Drosophila melanogaster: one gene and its partner. The protein of the gene in region 1 interacts with the protein of each later gene in a pairwise test. Each region holds a gene or a part of one and is shown in the gene's direction. Other genes may lie near its edges.

Region 1 (6,835 bases):
AAGTTGTTAGGCGTTTGTCTCTGTCAATTGTTTGCGGCTGCAGTTGTTGCTTCTGCAGTTCCCGGGGGCGGAGACACGCATTCGGTGTCCAGGTCTCAACTGTTAACTAGAGTTCCACTTCCAATTCCAATTCCACACAAACCGATCGACGCAATCAAGCCCCACAGCTACTGGCCACAGACCAAATGGATTGGCAGCCGGGGAAGATGGCGATCGAGATTGGGTCCAAAATTGAGATTGAGAGATGATCGCCGTGAAGCAAAATCCAAAAATTTGTCAGATGCCGGACAATGTCAATGGCCATAACGAGCTGAGATCTTTGCTGGTTCCCCAAGGTGCTGGCTGCAATCTCCTTATATATTTTTCCGATGCTTGAAATTTATTTGTATTATGTGGAAAAAAGTTTGGAAAGGACAAGAAACTGACAAGAAACTTCAGTTTCTCCAAAGTTAATTACTTGAATTTTTCAACACTTCAATACAAGATTCCTGACAACCACATTGTACCTTCTCCACTAAGTGGTTGCAATCCTATGGTAATCGACGATCAACTCTTTAACAAGCACATGAACTGATGGACTAACTAATGGGCAAGCAAAGTGTTTTAGGCATTCGCTGTTCTGGTCAACCGAGGTGTAAGCACTCATGTTCCCTGTCGCCTGAAACGACAGGATGTCTTTGTTTTCCGCAAAACTTGGGCCTCCGAAAATGGTCAAGACAAGCAGCAGGCAGCATGATAAAGCGGGGGGAATGAGTTTGTTTTCCCTGGTTGCCGTGGCTTCCCTGGAAAAGCCGCAGGAAAAGTGAAGGTGGTGCAATTTGGAGTCTGGCCGCGCGATTAGCTAAGCGCTGCGACCATATAATCGCATTGACAATTCCGATTTGTGTGCGGGAGTCGAGGAAGTGCTCCACTTTATGGCAGTCATAATTTCATGTTTGAATGTTTCGCCTCGATAGGATTCGGAATGGGGATTTTCGAATTGCGATTTGGTCCGCTGGCCTGGCCTGGACTGGCTGGCCGCTTGTCCGATTCTATCGAATGGGTGTCCATTGTGTTCGCGGCAATCTCCCTCCGCCAGATTTGCATAACAATTGCTGACTGTAACCTTTCGCCCAATAAGTTAGCTGCAGCTCCAGCTCCAGCTTCAGTCTGGACTCCAATTTCGACTCGGATGCGGCCCAAGTGGCCAGCTGCAGTTGCTGGGCGGCAATAAAACATTTACCACCGAATTAGCCCAGTCGGAGAGTAGTTCAAGTAGTTTAAGTGCAAGACCACTTAAAATTCAGTTACGACTGCTGCCCAGTTCGGTTCGGTTATAGTTCAACTTTCGCGTTAAATGAACCTTTAAATAAACTTTCCATTTTATTTGGCGTAGTTCAGTTGAACTTGAGCCTAACTGAATTGTAATGTGCAGTCACGTGCAGTCATTTAGCAGTTGAGGTGTTGATTAAAGGTCGCGAGGTACTAAAAGCAGCTACGAGTGTTTGAAATTGCACTAAAAAGAGCTACGCTATTTGTAACTTGATTACACTATTATCGAAACATTGAAACAAACAATTTGTTAATACGGCTAAAACGGCTGACTGGGGCGAATCTAACTCCAAATCCAATACGATCGAAAAACATTTCTCTGCTTCATCGATCGGAAACACGCCCAAATCCACAAGAGAATAACACACGAGATAGAGATGGACTGAAGGGGGGGGGGGGGGGGTCTCTCAAGTTCAATTGAGTTTCACTTTCCTTCATAATTTAAATTAACAATTATAGCGGATAATTAACAAAATGAAAACAAAAGCATCGAAGGCAACTCCCCCTGAGCGGCTACGAAAAATATTATTACAAACTGTTGGATAATTTATCAAATGAGCTGCGGATAGGATAGGATTGGGTAGCTGGGCGACGATGAAGTCATTACCACAGACAAAAAAGAAACCACACAAAAGGAGAGACAGGCCCAACAAAAAGACGACGTCACATGTGAAGCGGATCAAATGATTTCGTCATAATCGAGCAGCAAATTACTATTTTTTCCCCCTAATAGAGTAATAAAATTGCCCAACTCTGGCCGAGAAATTTACTTTAAACTGAAAAGGAAGTGGAACCTGAATGGTAGCAGCAGGCTGAAAAACAAAGCTGAAACTGAAAATCGAAACCGAAATGAAATGTGGGGAAAATTAAGAAGAAAACGCTAACAATAAATCTTTTGGCAATAGAAAAAACAAAACCTGCCACAAAAAAGGCCCAAAAAGCCTGTTCACAAAATTGACTTTCGAACACAATTTATTTTTATATTTTTGTCTGCTTATTTCGATGTTATTTTTTTTTTTTGTTTTACCAAATCGCTTGAGAGTTTTTCTAGCCAGCGATTTAATAACCCGAATAAAGCCCCAAATAAAAAACAATGAAAAATTAATGTACGATCCATTCAGGTTCATCATCGACACGAGATCGAACCGCAACCGGGGAAAAAGCCAAAGGGAAAGGCGGCTGGCTCAGAGTGTTTGAAGCGGGCTGTAAGGCTTTGCTTTGTCGCCACTTTAATTGGCTCAAATTAAAGACGAGCTGGGATTGGGTTTTAATGGCAACGTCTGTCGGGTAAGGGGTGGTGGGAGGGGGGGAGGTGGAGAAGATGCAGCTGCAGTTTAGAGGCGTCACTTTATTCCGCTGATTAATGAAGAAATTTCCCCTGGAAGCTTGCCGCCTTGTTAACGACTTTATGTGTGACTATTCGCAAATAACAAAATGAGCGAGGTGAAATTAAATTTTACAAAATGTCCCATAAAATAATCAGTCAGCCATGGAAACCACTGGGGTCTGCGGACAACTTTAGTTGCTATAAAATGTGTAAAATGGAAAGTGCTGACCACGAAAGGGTGTTGGGTACGTAATTTTTACGAGAATTATTTCCTTGATGTAGGAAAAAACATGCATCATTTAATTGTAAGTATAAAAATTAAGCCAGTCCCGATGGCATGACCCAAAAGTTTATCCTCGCTCTATACCAGAAAATAAAGATAAGTTCGATTTGGTTGGCAATTTATTTATGTCGGGTCAATTTCTAATGGGGTTGTGCTACAATAATTTAACCATGGTAGATGTGGTGTCCATAGGTGGGAACAGCGTAGGACTTCAGCACAGGGACATGCTGAACCACTGGGACATTTTTCACCACCGGAACATGCTGCACCACTGGAACATGCTTCACCACCGGAACAGATTTCACCACGGGCACCACCTGGGCCACAGGAACCACTCCGTAGGAGGGCTCAATGTAACCAGGAGCAGCAAAAGCCATTGCTACCAGGGCGAAGATTACAGCGATCTAAGGAGATATTTTGTAATATGAAAAATCCTAAGGATTTACTTTATAATTTCGTGAACTTACAATGCGGAACATTTTGGTATTTTGTTGTGAGTTAAAAACTTTAACTTGTGGTTATCGAACGTTTGTGTTAGCCGGACGACTGTTGTTGATTGACCATCCGTGGAATCATTATATATAGTAGTTAGCACCTCAGCCGAAAATAGCCCACAAATGACTTCTGTTCGAACGCCACGCGCCAAACCAGTTTAATTATCTTAAATTTGGTATCTTCGAATAATGCGCATTCTATTTGGTATGAAACCATCTCCAGCGGCGAACTTCCCGTTATCGGTCGTTATTGCTTAACCTTTGGACATAATCCCCATTCAATGACTTCTCAATTGTTTGCTGTTTTTAGATCCGTGTGCTTATTATTGTTTACTTCCAAGACCATTGTCATTATATCGATCGTCTTCACGCGTTTGTGATGATCACCAAGAACCAAGGTCATGTCCACAAAAAAAGACCTATATGAGGCACCTTTGGGTCAACTGATAAATCCATTCTCTCAATTAAACAGAAGAATTATGGCCAAACACGTTTGCCCATTTAGAAGTTGTTATTGAAGTGATTTTTGGCTATATAAAGTAACTGATCCATTGGTCAGCATCACCAGTCGTCCTACAAGCATCCAAGTGACAATATCTCCAAGTCAAGTTTGTAAATTACTAAGAAAATACCAAAATGTTCCGCATTGTAAGTTCACGAAATTATAAAGTAAATCCTTGTGATTTTTCATATTACAAAATATCTCCTTAGATCGCTGTGATCTTCGCCCTGGTAGCAATGGCTTTTGCTGCTCCTGGTTACATTGAGCCCTCCTACGGTGTGGTTCCTGTAGCCCAAGTGGTGCCCGTGGTGAAATCTGTTCCAGTGGTGCAGCACGTTCCGGTGGTGAAGAATGTCCCAGTGGTTCAGCATGTCCCTGTGCTGAAGTCCTACGCTGTTCCCACCTATGGACACCACATCTACCACGGTTAAATTTTGGAAAGAGCTCAATCGATATCGCACGGGAATAAATAAAATGTTTATGCTTGTAAAAGGAATCATATTTGACTTACTTGTCTCAAATCAAATGCACTTCAAATGAGTTTACAACTTCTGTGATTTATTCGCAGTATTTGCAGTGTGTGCGGATTATTTTCTCATGTCCCGCCGAGTTTTTGTATCCAACAACCCATTAAGAGCTGCAACAGAATTTTCTTCGGTCTGGTCCGATCGGAAATTTTTACGCAAGCCGTAAATGCGCCAAAATCTGGAACACAAATACGTTTTTCTCTGTTTTCGCGTTAGGGGCTTTGTAGTTTATTTGGTGCGGATCGAGTGATAAAAGCCAAATGTGCGCCTCGTTCCAGGCACCCAAAAGATACGGAGATTGAGCAGTTGCGTGGAACACATTTGGCAGGCTGTTCGCTGGTGAATTGACTCTTTGCACCGACTGAAGGTGATTAATGGACGCCAAGAGGAGCGGAGCGGAGTGGAGTTCAGTTGCGAAGAGTTGAGAGTAGCCGTACGATACTTCTTAAACGGTAGTTAAAATCTAACTAACACGCGAGAGAAAGAGTTTGCGTTTGCAGAGTTGGCTGATGAAAACGCTTGCGGCTGGCATTGAAGACTTCTATAAAATGGAAAGGGGGAGGCTTTTCTTGCTGACCCACTTTTGGCAGACAGAAAAATGTATTTGCCTTTGCTGACTGGCTTGGCTGGGCACTCCAAGAATTGTTAACAGCAATTTAGTGGTTATTCGCTTCTTCTTCGGCTGCTAAGTGTATTTTATTGTTCGCCAATTGCTGTTGTTGTCTTGTTAACGCTTTTTATAGCCGCCTTTTGCTTTTCGGCCAACTCTATTTGTCGAGTCTTTCTCTCCATGCAGATGTATCCCACAGATACATTCATTAACTTGTTTGCAGTTACAGTTTCCCTGTTTCCCCTCGCCGGTGATTTATGCTATCGCCAGCGTTTGTTCGTATATTTAGACATTTCCTATGTGTTGTCACCTCAATTTTTTCCTGCACTTGCTCAACTTTTTTATTTTAATTTTATTTTTAGGCTAATTAAAATAATCAGGTAATTGTGCAGTTATGAGTTATGTCTCAAGTCGGCGGAGAAGAGGAAGATTGTGTGAACATGGCAGACCTCAAATCTCGTTATGACTATGAATATGCATTGGCGCTTGATGAGATCCCCTTCCCCATTTTGTGAAGAAGTTAAAGGCGTGCCCAGGCAATTAGTTTGGAGTTGGGCCCTTCCATAGAAACCTTCAGGGCTATTTTGGCACGTTGTCAGGAGGTGGAATGCTGGAATCAGGCGTTGACTTCGGGCGAAACTTGTTCTCCACACCCAGTAACCATTGAATATAACAGGGCTCTCTAGTTAAGATGGGCTCATAAATAGAATAAGTTACAGGCAGCTTTTGACTTTAATAGTTCGCACTTTAATGGATGTTGAAGGACTATGAACGAGTTCGATGAGATCATGATCCTGTTTTAACTATTAAAGTTTTTGAAAAGTTCAATAGCATTCATCACTTATTTTACTTCCATTGAGTAAAACTTAAAGCCAAAACCTGAGCGAATTTTCCTCCCCATCTCTCAGTCAGATATGTGATTGATTTTCCAATCTTTCTCCACAAAGTCTTTAAGAGCACTCCGGCCTGGCAAACTGGACTTAACGTCGATGTCATCCATATGCTTGTGGCGCGGCCGACAAATAGCAAATAAGGGAAAAACTTGTCAGCCTCGCACACGTTTCCTTCTTCTGGCTTTGGATGGCTTCTTGGAAAAGCGGGGCCAGCACAAGAATCTCTTCTATTTCCTTGGGAAATATCTCTGGCATTCGTGTTGTGCGTTGTCTTTGATTCTTATATATCGAGCTGGGATTCTGGTCGCTCTCGTTTCGAAGAGATGAGATCTTTTAAAAGGCAGTCGTTGCTCTATGATCTACTTTATGCATTAGTTTTCAGTTCGAGGCGCGTGCGAAGACCACAAATCGATGCAGGAAATCCGATTTGTGGTAAAAGTTTTCCTTTTTTCTGCTCCCCCAGTTTTCCTCATCTGAGTTTTGCTTTACTTTGGTAAGTTGCCGTTTAAAGTTGTTGCACTAAGTAGAAATATGTGCAAAACGGTGGTTGTGGGGCTTCTGAGAAATCAAAGCCGGTGGTCTCGAAAGGCGGAAGAGTGAGGATTTTGGTGGGCGATAGGTGCCAAGTGTTAAGGGTTGTCGTGGGTTAATAGTCGTTAAACGTCAGCGAGGGTCAGTGGCTTACCAGGGTCTAAGGATATTTGAGATGTGCACTTTTGCTTAGATGAGAAAATGCAAGTGAAAGAGTCAAGCTATAATTGTAAATAGTGAACTACAATAAGCCAATTTTAAATTACACTATAATAACTGTGTGTATGTATTTTGTCAATTTAAAACAAGACAGTTAAAATTCTGATCATCTAAAAGTCAATGAATTTATTTCTTTTA
Region 2 (7,768 bases), on another chromosome or scaffold:
GGAAAGTGGAGGCATCTCGTTTGGAGAAACGCTTCGTGTTGCTGTCCAGTTCGTCGTCGTTTTCAGGAAGGGTAATGGTCTTGCCAATAACCACATCGTCGCCAGATACACGAATTCCTGGGGCAATAATTCCATCATCGTCTAACTTGTCGTAGTGAGCATTTCTCATTCCTTGGCAGGTGCCGCGATGAGGCTTCTCGAAGTTCTCTTCCTGATCACCGACACGTTTGTTCTCCGAATCCTTGTATGATCGGTAGAACACAGAGCGGAAGAATCCACGCTCCACAGCGGATGCATTCAGAATGACAGAATCCTCCTGGTTGTAGCCAGTGTAGCAGAGAATAGCCACGATTGAATTGATGCCAGCTGGTAGTTCTCGGAAACGCAGGTACTCCATGGAACGTGTGGTCACAAGTGGCTTCATCGGATAGTAAAGTACGTGGGCTAGTGTGTCCATACGCACGTGGAAGTTGGTAATATAAACGCCCATAGCTTGCTTACCTATAAAAGATGAAAAAAACGTTATAAATGGATTAGTATTTCAAGTAGAACAGTAATGAATACTCATAAACTTACCCATAGCGCTTTGATAGGTGTTACGCGGACTCTGATTGTGATCGGGGAAGGGAATAATGGACGCGCACACGCCCAGGATCATGGCTGGATGGATCTCACAATGTGTGTATGTGGTACAATAAGCATAATCCTTGTCCTGCTTCAGATCGTAGGGAGACATAGCGATCATGACCGTTTCCTCCTCAAGGGTATCAATGTACTCCACCACTCCAGAGGCTACAAGGACCTGCCAACTGTAGTTGTTGTAGTCTCGCTCCTTTAACATCTCCACGTGAGTCTTTTTAAGCAGCAGCGATCCGTTTTCCACGATGAGAAGTGGCCGACAAATGCGACCAGCATCTGTATAGATTCGGATCTCACGATCTCGAATGTCTCGAATCATAGACACCTCTGACACGATGATATCCATCTGGCGACGCAACTTACGAAGCGTTGCCATGAGCTGCTCAGGATCACGATGTATGCCCACCCAGCAGCCGTTCACAAAGATCTTTGTAGCATCAGCGATGGCAGAAGGAGCAATTTCCTCCAGGTTTTCCATAGACCACTCCTCCAAGAACTCCAGAATGGGAGAAGGTTGTGATCCCACAGAAATGTAAGCCATGAGCGCCAGGTTCTTCACCAGACCAACAGCTGCTCCCTCAGGAGTTTCAGCGGGACACAACATACCCCAAAGAGTATTGTGCAACTGACGAGGTTTGGCCAGTTTACCGTCTCTGCCAATTGGCGAATTCACACGCCGCAAATGGGAAAGAGTAGAGGCGAAGGTCAAGCGATTCAACACCTGGGAGACACCGGCTCTCGCCTGATGCGCCTTCTTCTGGTCGCCCCAATTGCCAGTGGCCAAGGAATACCTTAAACCATCAGTAATAATATTAGTCTTGATGGCCAGTTCAAGGTTGAAGTCCTTTCCGCGATCGATGAACTTCTGTGTGTACATGCGCACCTCTTTCATCAGGTTTTTGAACAGACCACGGAAGAGGAAGGCCAGGAGGGGTCCAGCGAGATCAAGTCGCTTGTTTCCATAGTGATCTCGATCATCGAGTTCTCTCCTGCCCAAAGAGGCTAAGAGCAGCCGGTGAACCATGTAGCCCAAAAAGTATGCCTTCTTGGTCTCGCAGAAATCGGATACTCCAACGTGGGGCAGCATTTCCTTTTGCAAAATTTCCTTAGCGTACTTTATACGCTTGTCTTTTGTGACTCCGGGACGTGCTCCTCTAGCTCCAATGAAATTCAAGGCAACATTCTGCTCTTGGACTACAAAAGCCTCGTCCAGAGAAGGTTTCACCATTTCCATCATCTCGGGATCGTCGAAGTCATAGATGATATGCTCCAGAATATCGCGATCGGCCACGAAGCCCAATGCTCGAAACACAATCATAATGGGTATCTCCTGTTTGATGTACGGTAAGATGGCAATAATCCTCTGACCAATGGCTGACTTTTTTATGTTTTGCGATCCTCTTGCCATCATGTTTACCCACAGTGTAGACGTGGGTCTGGAACTGTGCTCCAAACACGACCGAATCTCAGTCTTAAAGGCATACTTGCCATCTTTCATGCTGAACACGTACACTGTGTTGGTGGCCATTTTCTCTTGGGCAATTAGCACCTTCTCGGAGCCGTTGATGATGAAGTAGCCACCGGGATCCAACGGGCACTCGTTCAGCTCCGTAAGATCACGATCAGTAAGCTGTGATAGCAAACAGTACGTTGATCTCAACATGATGGGAATCTTGCCTATGAAAGTCTTTTGATGCTGCGTTTCCACGGGATCCAGGCCCTCGACATTCTTGGTTTTCGTAATGTCCACGTAGAGAGGAGCGGAGTAAGTTAGATTTCGCAGGCGGGCCTCGTTCGGCATCATAGGACTGGGCGAACCATCCTTTTCCCAATGTGTTGGCTTGGAAAGATAGATTTGCTCGAATTTCAGCGAGAATCTGGGCGGGGTTTCCACCTCTCCGGATGTGTGCTGCGCTTCCGCCTGCAACTCAATGGCGGGGGAATCCTCCACAATGCGCTGCACCGACATCTGAATGAACTCATCGAAACTGTCCAGCTGCTGCCGCACCAAGCCCTTCTCGTCGAAGTACGCGTTAATCACGATCCAGCAGGCTTCCTGCCACAGCTCGTGAGAGATCTCCTCGGCATTCTCCTCCTCGTACAGTTCTGCAAGATGTTATTTGACCATTGAAATTCATTGCTAACAATGCGGAGCCCTAGCGCTCCAGCCGCCATATTAATTTTGGTACACGCCAACGTGCATGCACAAATTTTCGCAATTCATTTTACTCACCTTCCTCGTTGTCGTACATCATGATTTCAGTTTTCTAAAGTGCAGAAGCACTTTATGCGTTCAAGTAAATAACAATAAATTGGATTTGCAATGAATTAAATTGTAAAAACGTAGAAAATTTCACAACAAATGTTTGCCGACAACGCGATTAGCGGCGTTGTGCTGTGTTGGTAAACGGCAAAAGCAAAGCACAAGGTGCAGTTCATAAAGTTATAGCAAATACTTGTAAACACAATAAAATTGTTTTTGGCAACAAAATAAATTTAAAAGTGTGAATGATATAAGAAAAAAATATATGAACAACTAAATGAGTATGTAACTTAAATTATTATAATAATATAATTTTATTAATAACAAACGCATTTAAATTAAAAACAATTAAACCGAGAGTTTGCCAACACCAATGACACGCACACTTTCCAACACTAACAGACCGGCAAACAGCTGAGATTGTTGTACTCGTTTTACTTGGTTATTTAACACGCTTAAAAAATGAATTTTCTGTGGAAAGGACGCCGGTTTCTGATCGCAGGCATCCTGCCAACATTCGAAGGCGCCGCAGATGAAATAGTCGATAAGGAAAACAAAACATACAAGGCCTTTCTGGCCAGTAAACCACCAGAGGAAACAGGACTGGAGCGCCTCAAGCAAATGTTTACAATCGAGTAGGAAAACTAAGAATTCCATTTATACTAAAATCTACTGACCGTACATAAACATTTAAATAGCGAGTTTGGCAGCATATCCTCCGAGCTTAACTCGGTTTACCAGGCCGGCTTCCTAGGATTCCTTATTGGAGCTATTTACGGCGGAGTTACACAATCGCGCGTGGCCTACATGAATTTCATGGAGAACAACCAGGCCACAGCATTTAAATCGCACTTTGATGCCAAGGTAGGTATCTACGTATTATCATTTAAATATGTTATAATCAAGTTTTTAATCATAATTACAGAAAAAGCTGCAAGATCAATTCACAGTCAACTTTGCCAAAGGCGGCTTCAAATGGGGCTGGCGAGTGGGACTTTTTACCACATCCTACTTGTAAGTTCAGCAACACGAATTCAAATCTGTATCTGTGTGATACAAAAATGTGTTCCTTACAGCGGCATCATCACTTGTATGTCGGTGTACCGTGGAAAATCCTCAATCTACGAATACTTGGCCGCTGGTTCCATCACCGGCTCGCTTTACAAAGTGAGTCTTGGTCTGCGGGGCATGGCGGCAGGTGGAATCATTGGAGGTTTCTTGGGCGGCGTGGCTGGTGTGACGTCGCTGCTGCTGATGAAAGCATCAGGGACCTCGATGGAAGAGGTTCGCTACTGGCAGTACAAATGGCGACTCGATCGCGACGAAAACATTCAACAGGCGTTCAAAAAACTGACAGAGGACGAAAACCCAGAGCTTTTCAAGGCCCACGACGAGAAAACATCCGAACATGTATCGCTGGACACGATCAAGTGAGTCCTGAGGACTTAAAGAAGACGCCAGTGTGAACTTAGTTACTTTTTTTAATTTAAATAAATTGCATATATGTCCATCTAAAGTTACATAGACAAGAATACATTTAAGGAAGCCCACTTTGGCGGCTGCTATGCGATGTTTCAGTTGATGCCTAGTGCCTCTAAAGATATCGACTGACGTACGGACACATATAGACACGGGATAGACACAACACAAAAGAAATAAACGATTGGATACAATAAATTAAATGCTCTGCTAGGAAACAGTACGTAGAAGGGCGATAAACAGAATTGACTCGGTGGGATCGGGATTCAGACTTAGTCCTCTGCGGTGGGACGCGTGAGGCGCTTGGCGCCTCGGTTTGGTGGCCCCTTGGGCTTGGCAAAAGCCGGTCGGTGTAGAATCTTCTTTGGGTGCAGCTCGTCCTGCAAGAAGGCTTCGGTCAGCTCGCTGCCGCTGTCGATTTCAAGCTGAAATGTAAAACGTTGTTAGAAACATGAATCAGATTTAGTATGATTTAAAATTACTCATTATTTATGATTTACAGATTTCTATTTCAAGTGAAAAGTGAGACATTCGCCCTAATTATGATTCAAAATATTTCTAGAGATCGTGAATCAAAAGTATAGTGAATGTGGCGATTTGAAAGCAATAAATAAATCACAAACAATATATACCCTGCTTTTGCTTTTTATAGCCCTAATCTTTAGTGCTATTAGCGCAGCCACACCCACTCGCATTCATATCAACTCACCTTCTTAACAACCTCCACGCCAAGGGCCGCGAGCTCGTCGAGAAAAGGAGCCTTACAGCTTGAGTACATCATGCGCTCGCGCACGGAGCAGGAATATCCAGGCATGGAGTAGACGAACACGTACGACTCAAAGTAGTCGCCCTCGTGCGTGTGCCGAAACAGGAAGAGGTGGTATCGTGCATGATCCTCGGGCACTTGCTTCGGCAGATCGGCGAGCTCCACTTTGGCCGCACGCGAAACATGGATCTGTTCCTCCTCCAGATCGATGCGGAACTGAAGGTAGTCGTGCTTGCCGCGCACCAAATCCTGAACGGCAGCCACGGTTGCCTCGCTCAGCGGGCAATTGATCCCACCCAGAGTTTGGTGCCGCGTATTCGTATTGATCTCAGTGTGAACCTCTGTCTTTCGCAGCTCTTTCAGCTCCTCCTCCCTGCTGGTCAATGGAGCTGGGGCTGCGAAATCCTGCTTGTGCCGGCGATAGCCCTCCAGCGTGCACTCATCCAGAGTGGTGGCATGCAGCTCCTCTGTGATGTATGCTGATCCGAACTCCGTTTTCAACGTGGCCTTCGTGGAAGCGTATACCATCTTCTGTCGGATGCTGGCCGTGTCCGGCGTCCAGCTGATAAGTAGCCAACTGTAGCCCAGCGGGATCTTGGCGTCCAGGCGATAGAGAATATAGCAGGGCACATCCTTTTCCAGTAGGGGACCTATAAGCTTGTCGTAGTCGCGCTCCCAATCCTTTTTCGTCTCCGCCGTGGCGCCGCAACTAAGCTGCTCTGTAATTTGGGGCGGGGTGAAAACGGATGCGGGTTCGTTATCAAATCGTATGCCTAGTATATATCTTGTGTATATACGTTTCTGGATTAAATCCACTCACCATTCTCGATCGAAACTTTTATCACGCGAAATTTACCATTCTTCGCTTTGCCGAACACCTTGGCCAGCTGCTCGTTGGCTGAAAATACAAAGGGTGTTCTAAGGATGCGGATTAGGTGGTTCCCAAAGATAACAAACCTCGGATACCCGTTTGGTGAGACATTTGGACAACAGCTAAAATTAATATTGCCGAAAAAATATATTACTCACAACCAGTGTGACCGCAAAGCGCGAGTAGGGAAATACTAAACCGGGAAATATGTACCGATTCTGATTGGCAATCACTTCAAAGCGGCTTTAAATGTGTAAAAAAAAAAGAATTATTAATTAAAAAGATACTGTAATGCTATTTTTATAACTAAATTTTGGGAAAATTTTTAACACTCTGTTTTATAGAACATACATTTCAAAAATAATACCAAATGTGTCTGCACTGATACAGTGTTGAAAAATTCTTCAAGCTCCAGTACTTTGCAGCACAGGCCAGCGTTCTTTCTTTTTTCACGGAAAATGTAATGAAAAACTGCATTTAACTGCATTTAAAACGTAGCAACTAGCCCGGAAAAGCATCTGTTGTGCAATCGCATAGTCAATAAAGTGAGTGCACGCGAGATTCGTCCGATTAAACCGCTCCAGCGATCAACTGGAGCAGCTGGGCGTCGACGTCGGCAGAGGCCAGCCCACGCCCCAAATGTTTACGGGCGTGAAAAGTGCGGAAAAGCGAGGAATTTAATTGGGTTTTCGTTTCCCGTTTGCCCGCAGCATCCACACCCATGTTGACCGAAACCCCCATGGCCAGCGAGAACATCATGGACGAACTAGCCTCTCTGATACGCACCGAGATCCCCGATGGCCGCCAGAGTCTGCGGGACAGCTACACGAACCTGGAGCGGGTGGCCGACTACTGCGAGGACACCTACTACCGCGCGGACAACAAGAAGGCGGCCCTGGAGGCCACCAAGAACTACACCACCCAGTCGCTGGCCAGCGTGGCCTACCAGATTAACACGCTCGCCTATAGCTACATGCAGCTCCTCGAGCTTCAGGCCCAGCAGCTCGGCGAGATGGAGTCCCAGATGAACCACATCGCCCAGACGGTGCATATCCACAAGGAGAAGGTGGCCAGGAGGTAAGAACAACAAATTGCTTAAACTAGAATAGGAAAAGGGGATATGCATATTTTAAAACGACAAAGAATACGGAATGAACATTTTTGTCTGTAAGTACGACTCATCGGTGATAAAAGCTTCATAGAGAAGAAATGTACATTCATACATGCGTCGTCAGACGTGCTGATAAGACTGAACGTCTCTTTCTTCATTCTTTTCCTACATAACTATTTAGTTTTTTCAATTCACTTTATTTGTATTAATTATTTTTGATTATCTTCATTGTCTTTTCTCAGAGAGATTGGCGTGCTTACGGCTAACAAGGTGAGCTCGCGCCAGTTTAAGATCGTGGCGCCCATCAATCCGGAGAAGCCCATCAAGTATGTGCGCAAGCCCATCGACTACTCGATGTTGGACGAGATTGGCCACGGCATTAACTCGGCCCAGCACTCGCAGGTGCGACAGAAACATCGGGGCTCCAGCCATGGGTCCGTGCAATCCTTATTGCCGCCGTCGGTGGGACCTCCGCCAACCACGAAGCCCCCAACTCCGCCGCAGATGTCGCGAGCTGGGAACACTGGCACACTGGGCAAGTCGGTCAGCAATACCGGGACACTGGGCAAGAGTTCGCGGGAGTACCGCACTCCGCCTGTGGTCAATCCACCACAGGTGCCATCGCACTACGCTCCCAAC

What was found.
Region 2: the proteins of CG34267 (region 1) and 140up interact in a two-hybrid assay, tested with the Drosophila melanogaster proteins (one large-scale study listed by BioGRID).

Annotation. Positions count from the first base shown.
Region 1 is NT_037436.4:497,590-504,424, reverse strand, and holds CG34267 (uncharacterized protein), read left to right. Parts: upstream 1-3,973; 5' UTR 3,974-4,051; coding exon 4,052-4,063; intron 4,064-4,126; coding exon 4,127-4,348; 3' UTR 4,349-4,411; downstream 4,412-6,835. Other genes in the region: CG34268 (uncharacterized protein), read right to left, coding at 3,086-3,325, 3,389-3,400.
Region 2 is NT_033777.3:14,121,073-14,128,840, reverse strand, and holds 140up (upstream of RpII140), read left to right. Parts: upstream 1-3,292; 5' UTR 3,293-3,364; coding exon 3,365-3,537; intron 3,538-3,600; coding exon 3,601-3,766; intron 3,767-3,827; coding exon 3,828-3,916; intron 3,917-3,978; coding exon 3,979-4,336; 3' UTR 4,337-4,653; downstream 4,654-7,768. Other genes in the region: Polr2B (RNA polymerase II subunit B), read right to left, coding at 1-501, 577-2,745, 2,873-2,894; twf (twinfilin), read right to left, coding at 4,654-4,806, 5,091-5,866, 5,968-6,045, 6,105-6,129; Abi (abelson interacting protein), read left to right, coding at 6,740-7,095, 7,372-7,768. UniProt on the Drosophila melanogaster protein: Chaperone protein involved in the assembly of the mitochondrial NADH:ubiquinone oxidoreductase complex (complex I). Essential for viability.